Linked DNA regions of Stegostoma tigrinum. The protein of the gene in region 2 purifies or fractionates together with the protein of the main gene of each other region. This does not show direct contact. Links are inferred from orthologs where the notes say so. Each region holds a gene or a part of one and is shown on either strand. Other genes may lie near its edges.

Region 1 (7,543 bases), on a different chromosome or scaffold from region 2:
CTGTCTGGCCATCTTGGTATACAGGACAGTTAAATAAAGTTGTATCTGTGATATCTGTTGTCTGTGTCCTTAACCCTGCAAACAATGAAAGTTTGTTGCGTTTCATTGTTAACATAAATGACAGGTTTTTTTGTCCATATGACATTTGGAAAATGCTTATATTGGGATTAGTGCATCCCTTCAAAATTTCAGCACAAACATTTGGCACTGATGCTGAGGTTTCACTCAGAAATCTAATATACAATTTTGCTTCAGCCTGCAACTAATAATACACCGTAGGAGTGGTGCAAAGAAGAATTACTGCTATGCTGAATTCATCTCTGCTTACCTTGAATCTGTCCTCCCGACCCCCCCCCCCCCCAAAAAAAACACCTCATCTTCGGTGTGGTCATCCAGTCCCTATACACTTTTATCCCCCACACAGATGACCTAAAAGTCCTCTGCTTCTTCATCTCCCGCAGGCCCAACTAGTCCCCCTCATGGGCCCAAGCTATGCCTGCTTTTTCATAGGATACATGGAACAGTCCCTTTTCCACTGTTACATTGGCACTATCCCACCCCCTTCCTCTGCTACATAGGTGACTGTATTGTGCTGCCTCATGCTCCCACAAGTAGTTCAGAAAATTTATTCACACCTTTCACCTGAACCTCAAATTTACCTGGTCCATCTTCCCTCTCCATCCTGGACCCCTCTGTCTCCATTTCTGCCTCGAAATTGACATGTATTTCAAGCCCAATGAATCCCATGGCTATCTAGACTACACCACCTCTCACCCACCCTCCTGCAAGAGTGCAAACCCTACTCCCAATTCCTCTGCATCTACTCCCAAGATGGAGTGTTCCACTCCCAAACATCCCAGATGTCTTCCAATTTCAAGGCCCGCAACATCTCCACCCCAGGCCCCCCCACCCCCCGTGATCAAAAATGCCATCAACTGCATCTCTCACATTTCCTGGACTTCTGCCCTCAAAACCCCTCCCCCCTCTCCCAACAAAAATACAGAATTCCCCCTTCTCCTCACCTATCAGCCCACCAACCTCCACATCCAGTGTATCACGTTCCACCACTTCTGCCACCTACAATCTGACTCCACAACCAAAGAGATATTTCCCTCCCCACCCCATCTGCTTTTTGTGAGGATCGCTCACTGCAGCTCACTCGTCTACTCCACATTACCCACTAACCCCACACACCTGGCACCTTTCCCTGCAACTGCAGGAACTCCTGCACCTGCCCTAAACCTCCATTCAAGGCCCAAAACAAACCTTTCATATCAGACAGAGGTTCACCTGTACTTCTGTCAACTTGGTCTAATGTATCCATGGCTCCCGCTGTGGCCTTCTGTACGTCACAGACCATTTCGTAGAGCATCTGCACGCTGTACGTGACAAATGACAACACCTTCCAGTCACCAACCATTTTAACTCCCCTTCCCACTGAAATGTCCATCCTGAACCACCTCCAGTGTCACAATGACACTATCCACAAACTGGAGGAGCAACACCTCATTTCACCTTGGGAGCCTTACAGCCCAATGGCCTAAACACAGAATTCACCAGTTTTAAAATCTCCCCACCCCAGGCTTCAAGCCATGTCTGACCCTCCCTCTCATCCCTGCTGCCTTGACCTGACACAACCTGTCCACCTTCTCTCCCACCTAGCCACCACTCCCTACCTACACTCACCTATCACCATCCCACCTACCTTCCCCAGCCCAATCGTCCTCTCTATCTATTTCCCAGCTCCCTTCCCCCTCCCCATTTCTGAAGAAAACATCAACTTTCCTGCTCCTCTGCTGCCTGGCCTGCTGTGTTCCCTCAACTCCACACTGTGTTATCTCTGACTCCATCATCTGCGGTTCTTGCTATCTCTGTTACTCCTACACTAAACTCTTCGCTGCCGTTCACTGTTGTTTTGTCTGTACCAGCAGGAAAGAGTGAGGGACCATAAGCAAGCACAGCAGTAGGGATAAGTTAAAGAGAGGGTAAATGCTAGTAAACACTGTCCAGACTCCACCTGCAGCTACTCGATTACATACAGAGCTGATCAGTCAGTGTTTAATTTAAAATTCAACATATTTTACTTGTTGACCATACTCAATTTGTGCTGCCCTTGCAGATGCATCAAAATATGTTCCCTCAGAAAATGTCATTATTTGTCATGGATTTCACAAAGTCCAAGTACATAGTTAAATGTCGTGAGCCTGGTTTGGACTTAGCAAATTGAATGCAAGAAGGTTGATTCAGGTTCAAAGAATTGAAGATAGAGTGAAAATAAATCACTGATTTGCTTTGTACTTAATTGATGGGTCAAATGACAGCATTCTCTGAATACTTGGCAGATTTGGGAGTAGTAGGGAGAGAGAGTCAGTGTATGAGAATGATAACCTGTTATCACAGCGTGTAACATGCAATTCCTACATATGTCTGTATCCCATAATGACAGCCTACAAGGCCTCAGTTTTTTTCCTCTCAAACAGACCCATCCAGACCCCTCCTCTGCCTAGCCGAACTAGTTCTTAACCTAAATAACTTTTCCTTCAATTCTTCACACTTTCTCCAAATCCACAGGAGTGTTGCATAGGCCTCAGCTGCTGCTGCCTCTTTGTCGGTTATGTTGAACAGTCCCTCTTCAGTACATACACCGGTACTGTTCCCCAATTCTTCCACTGCTACATCAATGACTGCATCGGTGCTACGTCCTGCACTTGGTGAACTGGAGCAGTTCATTGACTTCGCAAACAACTTCCACCCAGCCCTTAAATTCACTTGGTCCATCTCAGATACCTCCCTCCCATTTCTCAACCTCTCAGTTTCCATTTCTGGCATGTTTACGGACTGACATTGACTATAAATCCACAGACTCTCACAGCTACCTCGACTGCACCATCTCCTATCTGTATCCTGCAAAAACTCCATCCCGTTTGCCCAATTCCTCTGTCTCCATTTTATGTGCTTTGATGAGATGTTCCATTCCCAAGCATCCAGGATGTTGTCTTTTTTCAAGTAATGTTCTTTTCCCCACTCTCATCCAGATAGCCCTCCACCTTGTTGCCTCCATTCGCCGCTCCACAGCTTTAAACCACCACCTCCCAAAACATCATAAAAATAGGGTTTCCCATGTCCTCACTTTCCACCCCAAGAGCCTCTGCATCCAACATATCATGCTGAAACACTTCCGTCAACTCCAATTAGATCCCACCATCCAAAAAATCTTACATTCCTCACCCCTCTCTGCCTTCCGCAAGGACCATTCCCTTTGCCGCTCCTTAGTTCACACCACACTGCTCACTAACCACCCCAAACCCTGCCCCAGTACCTTCACCTATGACTGTAAAAGATGCAACACCTGTAAACACCACCTCCTTCACCTCCAGCCAGAGCCCTAAACAGTCTCTTCCAACCTAGTCTACTGCATCCGGTGCTCCCAATGTCGTCTTCTTTAAATCGATAAGACTAAATGTAGCCTAGGTGACTGTTTCACCGAGCATCTTGACCTAGCCTATAACGGTCAACCTAACCAGCCAGTCACCATCCACTTCAACTGCCCACTCCTGTCCTACTCTGACGTGCTTTCTCTACCTCCTTTGGTGTCACAATTCAGAAAGCAAATCTGAGGAACACCATTTTATCTTCTGCCAGGGCACCTACAACCTAGAGGACTGAACACGGTTCTCTAATTTCAAGTAACCCTCCCACCCATCTCCTGCCACCTCTCTTCCAACCACTAACTGCTTTGAACCCTCCCATTAACAAACTAGGTCACACCTACTACTACTGCCCATCTATCACCACCAGTTGGCTGGACCCACACCCCCACCCCCACCCCACCCACGCCCCCACCACATTTAGTCACGTGTAAGATAAAATAATACCAACATGATTTAAGAAAACTTATTATTTCATTATAAATTATCAGCGATCACAAGAAATTTCGTACCAAAATCACTTATGTTAAGACCCTGCTTTTAACATTATAAGGCAATATAAATATAGGAATTAGTGGGCAAAATAATTTGTCACATCCACTCAAATAACAATCTTTTTTATAACATGCTTCGCATCGCTTCAGGCCTTGACGTTGCATTTATACTCATACGCTGAACAAGAGCGACGAGCGACATACTATAACTGCTTAATTTTAAAATAAAACACTTTTATGTTTCATCACACCCTTTAAGGCCACGTGGCTCTTAGTTAACTATCACTAATTCTTAAGATAGTCACGATCATCGTTCCAGGAACTCACGTGAACATTCTCGACTTTTCCACAGAATGGTTTTTAAGCGCATGCGCTTCCATCCCCACAGCCGCCGCAATGCTGATGCGCAGTGATACCCTATTGTGATTCATTGATGAGTGCAGTACACGTTTTAATGTCTGGTCCTTCCGCGAGAGTCCTATGAATTTGGAAAGCTGTCCGAATTTGAAATATCTAAAGGAATATGCGTAATGACAACTCAATAAAGTTACAAAGCTCTTCCGATAAGACTTGCGAATTATGTCGTTTCTGGAATTGTGATCGGGTTTTTATGAGTAGAGAGACTCTTTGACGCGAAAGTAGTCCCGATTAGAATTCTCATTCCGGGCGCCATCTGCACACCAGAGAGAAGAGAAACTGAGTTGACGGCCGACAAACGCGCGATGTTCATTAGCAGCAGTAAATATTTCTTTTTGTGAAATTTCACACAAACTGTGGTGACGAAGGCAAATTGACGTGAGGTTGCCGCGATCGACTGCGTTAGAATATTCAGGCCTCGGCACTCAGCCATCGATTGACTGGGACAGTGACACAAGCGAAACCCAGTTAAAACCTGCCCCGAAAGAGGAAGCGGCTTGGATTGAGCTGCACCCCGAACGAGAGCATGGCGGCGTCGGTTGGGGGTGTAACAGACAGCACAGGTGAGAAACATAGAAGGGGAGTATCGATGCAGATTCGGCTGGTACCATTTGATTGTTATGAAATGAAACCCGAGATTTGAAGTAGAGTGGAGCAGTTCCGTCAGTACAAATCCGGTTGAATCCCCGGAAGAGAAGGAAACGCGTAGGAAAAGCATGAGGCCGACTTGCATTTTTCCCCCCGCTGTCCTGTGTGGGATGTTACGACCCAGATTACTTAGTTGAGAGTACTGCTATTATTGTGTATGAGAACCGGTCAGATTAGTGTTCCTTTGGATATTGTTTATCACAATGATGCATACACAAAGGTATTCATGCGTAAAGAAACCAAGTCAATGGAGGAAGGAAAAAAACCTGGCTGGTGAGTTTCGGTGAGATCAGTGTCATGAAAGCGTAATTAATCCAGCGCAGAAATCGTAACATGGATCAGTACAACTGGGTATGTTGGCCTATTGGCCTAAGGATTTTTGAAGCGGCCAATCAAGTTTCAATATACTTTGGCACTTTTGAACAGTCTCTTGTTATTTGCTAACTTTTAAGCATAAATGATTTTAATTAAAATTTGACTTACTTTATCAATAAGCATAGAGTCTGTAAAATCACACATCATCCGGATGAAGGGTTTAGGCCCGAAACGTCAGCTTTTGTGCTCCTGAGATGCTGCTTGGCCTGCGGTGTTCATCCAGCGTCATGCTTTGTTATCTTAGTCACTGTGTGTGCTTGGTCCGTATTCTTCCAAACATTTCGTATTCATGTACTGACCCAGGTGGCTTTTAAACACTAACTGTATCTGCATCCATCTACTTCTTCTAAAAGGTCATTCATGCATGAACCAATCTGGGGGAGGGGAAGGGGGAGAAATAGCCCTTCATGTCTTTTATTTTTAACCTTTCTCCTCTCGTCTTAAAAATGTGACCCCCCCCAGTCTTGAAATCCCCTGGCTTAGGGAAAAGACAAGTTGCAATTCACTTCCTCTGTGCCCTCATGATTTTATAAACTTCTGTATGGTTCCCCCCCCCCCTCACCACCTGTGGTAAAATGGTAAAAAGGTAAAAAATCATAGCTTATTCAGCCTCTCCAATAACTTAAACCTCTGTTCCTGGGAATGCACTGGTAAATCTCTTCTGAACCAACTCCAGCTTAATAATATCCTTCCGAGAATGGGGAGACCAGAACTGGCACAGTACTCCAGAAGAGGCCTCACCAACATCCTGTACAATCTCAACATGACATCCCAATACCTATATGTGAAAGGTCTGAGTGATGAAAGCAACCATGCTATATATCTTCCCAATCACTTTATTTATGTGATGCAAACTTCAAAGAATTATGTACCTGAACCCCTAGGTGTCTCTGTTCTGCAATGCTGCTACTTGGCCCTACTTTGAATTGTATAAGCACTGCCCTTGTTTGTTTTAGCAAGATGCAAAGTCTCACATTTATCCCGCTTAAACTCCAGCTGTCATTCTTCATCCCATTGTCCTAAGTGACTAAGAGCTCTTCGTGACTTAGATAGCAAGTGACCACTACAATACCAATCTGGGTGTCATCTGCTAATGTAGTAGGCTGCTTCCTATATTCTCATTTAATCATTAACAAACAGAAGTGGACCAAGCATCAATCCCTACGGAAAAGGGCTGGTCATAGGTCTCCCATCCGTGAAATGTCCCTCTGTCTGATGTTAAACGAATTTTGTATCCAATTGGCAAGCTCACCCTGAATCCCACATTATCTAACTTCACTAATAGCTGAGCATATGGTCAGATAAATAAATGATCGTGGTGTGAGTGCACAAATGGGGTGGAAAAGGGAGAGTTTGCTACCGTCAGCATTATTCAGCTGTACACAGGGTTAAATGGGATTAGTATCTATTGGTAAATGTAATTCAGCATCATGGGGCTCAGTGGGTAAACACTTTACCTCACTGTACCAGAAACCTGGGTTTGATTTCAGCCTTGGATGACTGAATGTTGAATTTGCATGTTCTCCCATGTCTGCATGGGTTTCTGTCAGGCCCCACAGTCCACAGATATGCAGGCTAGGTGGCTCAGGTGTGGTAAATGTGGGATTATGAGCACAGGGTGGGGTGCTGTTCAGAGGGTTGATGCAGACTTATTGGACTGAATGGCCACTTTCCACATTGTGGATATTCTATCACTCTTAATGTAGAGGCAACATTTCCTGACAGTGTATTTTTAGACAGCAAGGTAGTCATGTAGATACAAAAATGTCATGTTTAGGATTTTCCGCTCCAGAGATTAAAACCATAAGACAGAGGAAGAGAATTTAGGCCGTTCAGCCTATCGAGTCTGCTCTGCCATTCAACCATGGCGGATAAATTCCTCACCCCAATCTCCTGTTTTCTCCCTGTAACCCTTGATCCTCTTGATAATCAAGAACCTGCCTATTGCAGCCTTAAATGTACTCAGTGATTTGGCCTCCACAGCCTTCCGTGGCAGTGAATTCCAGAGGTTCACCACTCTCTGGCTGAAGAAGTTTCTCCTTATCTCTGTTCTAAAAGGTTTTCCGTTTACTCCAAGGCTGTGCCCTTGGATCCTAGTCACCCCTACCAATGAAAGCATGTTCCCAACGTCCACTCTATCCAGGCCATTCAGCATTCTTAAATTTTAGGATTAGGATTGCA
Region 2 (7,855 bases):
ACTATTCTTTTCCTCCCTCCTGATCTTTCTGTATAATTTGTTTATAAACCTTTAGTACCATTAGCCCTGACTTGATAGCTAATTCTGGCTCAACTTCATGTAAATCAAAAGTGGTCAGCACACTTAACTTCCATCATTGCTGTCAACTGCAAAGTAACAGAAATACAGCTCAAGTTTTCAATGTTAGATTTTGAAACTATAAAACAATAAATTGCCTAACTTAGGATACAATAGAAAAATGAGTTCAATGGCAGCAGCACTTTTAAACAATGCCTGATTTTAGGTATCAATCACAAAAGGCAGTGTCAGAATTTCTTACTATGAAAATAAACTGCCCACTCTAAATCCAACCCAGTGATACGCAAAGCCCACTGTAATGGTGTAAAACACAGTTTTTGGAAGCACGTAAATGATGTTTGTTTTCAAAAAAATATACTAAATATTTCAAAGCTTCTACAATGAACTTAACGTCTGTCACCATGTTGGACACTGGTGCTATTATTCACAGCAACTGGCTACCATTGTCATCTCAGGAAATGAAATGGAGAACGAGTGGCAATGGGCAGCAATTCCAATCAAAACCAGTTTTAGCAGCTGAAAAGAAAGGGATGCCATTGCAGACATCAGAGTAAAAAAAACAAAAGCATGTCTTTGTGGTAGAGTTAGTAGTGTTCACATGCATGCCCGATGCTGTATTTCCATTTGCCCTAAAGAAAGGAAAAGGATAAGACAACTGTAAATACCTAACAAAGATGCAACAGAAGAGCTCCACCATGGTTGCTCCTTGAAGCTTAAAAAAAAACAAGCAAAGTTTCAGTTAAGACAGATGGTTGTTTCTTTTTAGCCTCTTGCACATACTCATTGATTCTAGGATTCTCCATTAGATCATATTATGACTTAGACAAGGGTAATAAAAGCATCATGCTGAAAATGATGGACACTGAAATTACTGACTTGCAGATATGATTGGTTTTGCCAAACGATTCCTGCTGCCTCAGAAGTATCACAATGCATTCTCAGTTAAATACTGAATTTATCAATAAAACTTCCAGCTATGTGATACAAGAGTACTCACTAGATTGTTAATGAGGTGATGATAATAAGGCAGTTTTGAAAGTACAGTAAATGAATGACATTTGGTTGCTGCTTTAAATAAGGTCCACAGTGGTAACCAATGTTTGGCTGAACATTAAAAAAGGGTTCCTTGAAATTGATGCTATACTAAGGTTAGGGAAATAAAAGCTTTAGCACAACAGTTGTAAATATTGAATTACTACTCTGATCTATAAAATTTTCTAGAAAACCTACAGTATAGTGGGATGCTTTTTTTCAAAGGCTAAGTGTATGCTTACTGCAACCTAATTGACAACCAATATTCATGTTTAGCAATCCTGCTACTTAAAATGTTTAGCACCAAGACTATTAATTTAATGAACAGTAACTGCTGATACTATTCAATACCTGTATATTTTATTTGAAACTTCTAAACTCCAAGTTTTTCAAAACGATACTCAATGAATTGTTTAGATGATCAGATGCAGTATATAAATTTCTACAAAGTAAAATCACTAAAAAACCAAGGCAGATTGACAACATAATGTGGCAAAACAAAACATGCCACCCAATCTTAAGATAGGGCTTTTATGATCAACATCAATGGGCCAAAATTATGATACCAAAAAAAATCATAAATGCTTTTAAAAATGTCAGCAATTCCAATCAATTTTACTTCTACAAGGTGCATATTTTCAAAAAAATTACATGATAGAGGTGCAAATGGAAACATAAACAGAGCTAAATGGAAAGCAAAATTTCACAACTTGGGAGCATGCCATGATGATCACACTGGAGACAAGACTCAGACGTAACTCAACCAGTTACAGTACACAGTATGTAATTCATTTATAGCTAAGAATCCTTGTCTGTATAACTATGGGCTTCTTAAAGACAAAGAAAGCCAAAGGAAAAATGGATCAGTGGCTACAATAATGCAATGCATATTAAATTTCACCACATTATGGGACACAAAGAATAAGGGAAAGTATCTTTAATAGCTTACGAGCTACCTTCCTCCCTGACACCAAAAATGAGCTCGTTATACAAATGTCTAACAACAGCGAAAAAATGCACACATGAATAATTGAGATTCACCATGTCACGGGTAAGCATTTACATCATGCGCATTAAAATGCCTACATGTATTCCTCATATAAACCAACCACATGCAAAAGAAGTACATGCAATTATCTCCCCAAAACCTGCTGCAATCTTTGTGCAGGGGGGTGGAAGAAGGAAAAAAAATAAACATTTTTAAAAGCAAAAATAATAAAAGCACTGGGGAGAGACGCGAGTTAGTTGTTGGGTTACACGTCCAGGACACAATCTCTCTCACACTCACACATCCACACACACTCACACAGAGGATAAACATGTGCTGGATGAATTTTGATTGCCACATTATTATTGTTAGAGGAGCCAGCGCTGAACGCCCGCCCCCCATCGGGTCATGAACCCATTTCAGATGGTTCTGAATGGGGGAATGAAAATCTCAAACGGCTCTTAGTTACCATGCGGGCAGCCTCAGCCCACGTGCGGTCCTTCTTCTTCTTCTGCTTGTCTTTCATCTTTTTTTCCCCCTTCGAGTGTCGCTTCCCTGTCCTTTTGTTGTTGTTGGTGGTGATAGTGATGATTTTTTTTTCCGCGGGGGAAGGGAGGGAGGACAGAAGGCGGCGAGGCCAAAGCAAACAAAATAATCACACGATCGAGAGAAAAAAAATCACACGCGCAAACAAAACCAGAGCTCGATGTTTTCCGCACGATCCCGCTCTCTCTCTCTCTCTCTCTATGGGTGGGTGTGTGTGTTTTTGTGTAGTGGTGGCGGAGGCAGGGGGTGGGGGGACGGGACGGTTCGGGACGGCCCTCTCTCTCTCCTCACTCCGCAGATCCCGGGGCTTCTAAACGACGCAAACGGCCATCATGAAAACAGGGCCAAAGGGCAACTGACGTCATTAGCCGCATCAGCCGCTCGCCCTCCCCTCCCCCATTCGCCCTCACCGGTTTTATTATTAATTTTTTTCAATCAACGACGCCGTGTACAAAGAAAAGGGCGCACAGTCGAAAGGAGCAGCCGCCGAAACCTATTTATGATTTTATAAGCGCGGACAAGGCCCTGGCGCTAACCAAGCTGGGGGGGGGCGGAGGGAGATCGGCTCCAACAACCGCTCTGGGGGCTGAGAGTGGCGCTCTATTTGTTTCTGCACCCCCCCCCAATCCAGGCCTCTAGTCACACCCATTTCCCCCCTACAATAACCTAACCGCGATGCATTACGGACGTTGTAGTTCACTCGCGCCCGAGCTCCCTTTCCCTGCGACGGTCGCCTCCCGCAGAGTGGACTACAATTCCCATCGGCCCGAGCGCCCGTGGAATGCCGCGCAGACCCGTCAGCTGCTGTCCCGAGCACCTACCGCCGCCTGGTGGCAGTCGGTGCCACTGCGGCGATGTGACCCACTTGACACCTTGGGCGGAGCTTGATCATGTTTGTGCCTGAGGAGAATGTTGACAAATGAGCACGTTTGGGGAGCAGTGTTTGTGATAATGGGAACTACAGATGCTGGAGAATCCAAGACAATAAAATGTGAGGCTGGATGAACACAGCAGGCCAAGCAGCATCTCAGGAGCACAAAAGCTGACGTTTTCATCAGAGAGGGGGATGGGGAGAGGGTTCTGGAATAAATAGGGAGAGAGGGGGAGGCGGACCGAAGATGGAGAGAAAAGAAGATAGGTGGAGAGAGTGTAGGTGGGGAGGTAGGGAGGGGATAGGTCAGTCCAGGGAAGATGGACAGATGAAGGAGGTGGGATGAGGTTAGTAGGTAGGAGATGGAGGTGCGGCTTGTGGTGGGAGGAAGGGATGGGTGAGAGGAAGAACAGGTTAGGGAGGCAGAGACAGGTTGGACTGGTTTTGGGATGCAGTGGGTGGAGGGGAAGAGCTGGGCTGGTTGTGTGATGCAGTGGGTGGAGGGGAAGAGCTGGGCTGGTTTTGGGATGCGGTGGGGGAAGGGGAGATTTTGAAGCTGGTGAAGTCCACATTGATACCATTGGGCTGCAGGGTTCCCAAGCGGAATATGAGTTGCTGTACCTGCAACCTTCGGGTGGCATCCTTGTGGCACTGCAGGAGGCCCATGATGGACATGTCATCTAAAGAATGGAGGGGGAGTGGAAATGGTTTGCGACCGGGAGGTGCAGTTGTTTATTGCGAACTGAGCGGAGGTGTTCTGCAAAGTGGTCCCCAAGCCCTCCAACCCCATCACACCGGCACCTTCCCCTGCAACTGCAGGAAATGCTACACTTGCCCCCACACCTCCTCCCTCACCCCTATCCCAGGCCCCAAGATGACTTTCCACATTAAGCAGAGGTTCAGCTGCACATCTGCCAATGTGGTATACTGCATCCACTGTACCCGGTGTGGCTTCCTCTACATTGGGGAAACCAAGCGGAGGCTTGGGGACTGCTTTGCAGAACACCTCCGCTCGGTTTGCAATAAACAACTGCACCTCCCAGTCGCAAACCATTTCCACTCCCCCTCCCATTCTTTAGATGACATGTCCATCATGGGCCTCCTGCAGTGCCACAATGATGCCACCCGAAGGTTGCAGGAACAGCAACTCATATTCCGCTTGGGAACCCTGCAGCCCAATGGTATCAATGTGGACTTCACCAGCTTCAAAATCTCCCCTTCCCCCACCGCATCCCAAAACCAGCCCAGTTCGTCCCCTCCCTCCACTGCACCACACAACCAGCCCAGCTCTTCCCCTCCACCCACTGCATCCCAAAACCAGTCCAACCTGTCTCTGCCTCCCTAACCTGTTCTTCCTCTCACCCATCCCTTCCTCCCACCCGAAGCCGCACCCCCATCTACCTACTAACCTCATCCCACCTCCTTGACCTGTCCGTCTTCCCTGGACTGACCTATCCCCTCCCTACCTCCCCACCTACACTCTCCTCTCCACCTATCTTCTTTTCTCTCCATCTTCAGTCCGCCTCCCCCTCTCTCCCTATTTATTCCAGAACCCTCACCCCATCCCCCTCTCTGATGAAGGGTCTAGGCCCGAAACGTCAGCTTTTGTGCTCCTGAGATGCTGCTGGGCCTGCTGTGTTCATCCAGCCTCACATTTTATTGTCTGGGGAGCAGTGTTTACCTGGATTTCAAAAACATTAATCTTCATCCAGAATATTTGTGCGAACCTTGAAAACAAGGTATATAAATTAAAACAGAAATTAATGGAGAAACTCGACAGGTCTGACATCATCTGTGGAGAGAAAGCAGAGCTGACTTCAAATGTTATATTTTAGTATTTTGTTATAGTTTTATTTAATAAATAAAATTCTGTTTTTAATCCCTAAAAGTCCCTGATCTTTTCAGTTTCGTTTCACCATGCAATAAACTCCTTTTTCAATTTAACTGATGAATCAAACTAGAAAAGATTCAGGAACAGTGTTTACGAATAAAATATTTTTAACATTGGGATTCATTATTCTTTTTTATAAATTGGTCTGTAGTACTGTGGAATATTATTTTTTAATTTAATTTTCAATGTCAGCATTGAGTATTCCTTTGCCAATAAAAGCACACCCACGTGCAGAGTAAACATGGAGTGATGCAGCACATAAGCCAGACCCTTCAGTCCAACTCATCCGTGCAGACCAGGCATCCCAATCTGACCCAGCCCTGTTTGCCAGCATTTGGCTCATATCCTTCTAAACCCTTCTTATTCATATACCCATCCAGATGCCTTTCAAATGTTATAACTCTACCCATCTCCAACTCCACAGTAATTCCAAAATATACCTTGCTTGCCTTGGTCTAATTGAAAACTAGAATATCTTAGATAATAGGAATTCAAACTTTCTAGCTGCATCAGACCATAAGACCATAAACGTAGAAGCAGACTTGGCAGACTTAGGCCATTCAGCCCATCAAGTCTGCTTCACCCTTCAATCGTGCCTGACATGTTTCTCAACCCCATTCTTCTGCCTTCTCCCCATAAATCCTTGATCCCCCTAATAATCAAGAACCTTTTTATCACTTTCCTAAATGTACACAATGACTTGGCCTCCACAGCCTTCTGTGCCACTGAGTTCCAAAGATTAACGATTCTCTGGCTGAAAGAAATTCCTCCACATCTCAATTCTAAAGTATCATCCCTTCACACTTGAGGCTGTATCTTCAGGTGCTAGTATCTCTGATGATTGGAGACATCTTCTCCGTACCCATTCTAACCAACCTCCTGTAAGCTTCAATCAGATCACCCTTCATCCCCATAAACTCCATTAAGTACAAACACAAAGCTGTCAGCCAGTCTTCATATGACAAGCCATTCATTCCCATGATAATTGAATTGGCTGGCCAACAGAAGACAGCGAGTGGTAGTAGAAGGAAAATATTCTGCCTGGAAGTCAGTGGTGAGTGGGGTTCCACAGGGCTCTGTCCTTGGGCCTCTACTGTTTGTAATTTTTATTAATGACTTGGATGAGGGGATTGAAGGATGGGTCAGCAAGTTTGCAGACGACACAAAGGTCGGAGGTGTCGTTAACAGTGTAAAGGGCTGTTGTAGGCTGCAGCGGGACATTGACAGGATGCAGAGATGGGCTGAGAGGTGGCAGATGGAGTTCAACCTGGATAAATGCAAGGTGATGCATTTTGGAAGGTCGAATTTGAAAGCTGAGTACAGGATTAACGATAGGATTCTTGGCAGCGTGGAGGAACAGAGTGATCTTGGTGTGCAGATACATAGATCTCTTAAAATGGCCACCCAAGTGGACAGGGTTGTTAAGAAAGCATATGGTGTTTGGACTTTCATTAACAGGGGGATTGAGTTTAAGAGTCGTGAGATCTTGTTGCAGCTCTATAAAACTTTGGTTAGACCGCACTTGGAATACTGCGTCCAGTTCTGGTCGCCCTATTCTCGGAAAGATATGGATGCTTTGGAGAGGGTTCAGAGGAGGTTTACCAGGATGCTGCCTGGACTGGAGGGCTTATCTTAAGAAGAGAGGTTGACTGAGCTCGGTCTCTTTTCATTGGAGAAAAGGAGGAGGAGAGGGGACCTAATTGAGGTATACAAGATAATGAGAGGCATAGATAGAGTTGATAGCCAGAGACTATTTCCCAGGGCAGAAATGGCTAGCACGAGGGGTCATAGTTTTAAGCTGGTTGGTGGAAAGTATAGAGGGGATGTCAGAGGCAGGTTCTTTACGCAGAGAGTTGTGAGAGCATGGAATGCGTTGCCAGCAGCAGTTGTGGAAGCAAGGTCATTGGGGTCATTTAAGAGACTGCTGGACATGTATATGGTCACAGAAATTTGAGGGTGCATACGTGAGGATCAATGGTCGGCACAACATTGTGGGCTGAAGGGCCTGTTCTGTGCTGTACTGTTCTATGTTCTATGTTCTATAATTCTGTGAACCTCCTCTGGAAGCTCTCCAACACCAGCACATCCTTAAATACAGGTTCAAAGCAACTCACAAATACTCCAAAAGCAGTCTGACCAGACACTTCAGTAGTGCAGCTCTGCTGTTGTATTCTAGCCTTCTTGTATTGAATGTAACTTTTTATTTACCTTCCTCACTGCCAGCTGAACCAATGTGTTTACCTTAAGATAATCCTGAACTAGAACTCCCAAGATCCTCTGTACTTCAAATTTCTGAAGCTCTTTCCCATTTAAAAAATAGTGTATGCTTCTGTTCTTCCGACCAAAATGCATAACCTCACACTTCCCTACTTTGAATTCCAACTGACACTTCATTGCCCACTCTCCTAATCTGTACACATTTCTCCGAAGTCTCCCCACCTTCTCAGCA

Evidence for each region.
Region 1: the proteins of polycomb group protein ASXL1-like (region 2) and UDP-N-acetylglucosamine--peptide N-acetylglucosaminyltransferase 110 kDa subunit purify together in Homo sapiens (affinity purification with mass spectrometry; 3 studies listed by BioGRID and IntAct, with this or other methods). This does not show direct contact. The link is inferred for Stegostoma tigrinum from reciprocal best matches to the Homo sapiens genes ASXL1 and OGT.

The regions. Positions count from the first base shown.
Region 1 is NC_081368.1:40,714,679-40,722,221, reverse strand, and holds the start of UDP-N-acetylglucosamine--peptide N-acetylglucosaminyltransferase 110 kDa subunit, read left to right. Parts: upstream 1-4,525; 5' UTR 4,526-4,865; coding exon 4,866-4,902; intron 4,903-7,543. UniProt on the Homo sapiens protein: Catalyzes the transfer of a single N-acetylglucosamine from UDP-GlcNAc to a serine or threonine residue in cytoplasmic and nuclear proteins resulting in their modification with a beta-linked N-acetylglucosamine (O-GlcNAc).
Region 2 is NC_081372.1:26,306,983-26,314,837, forward strand, and holds the start of polycomb group protein ASXL1-like, read right to left. Parts: upstream 3,009-7,855; 5' UTR 2,625-3,008; coding exon 2,568-2,624; intron 1-2,567.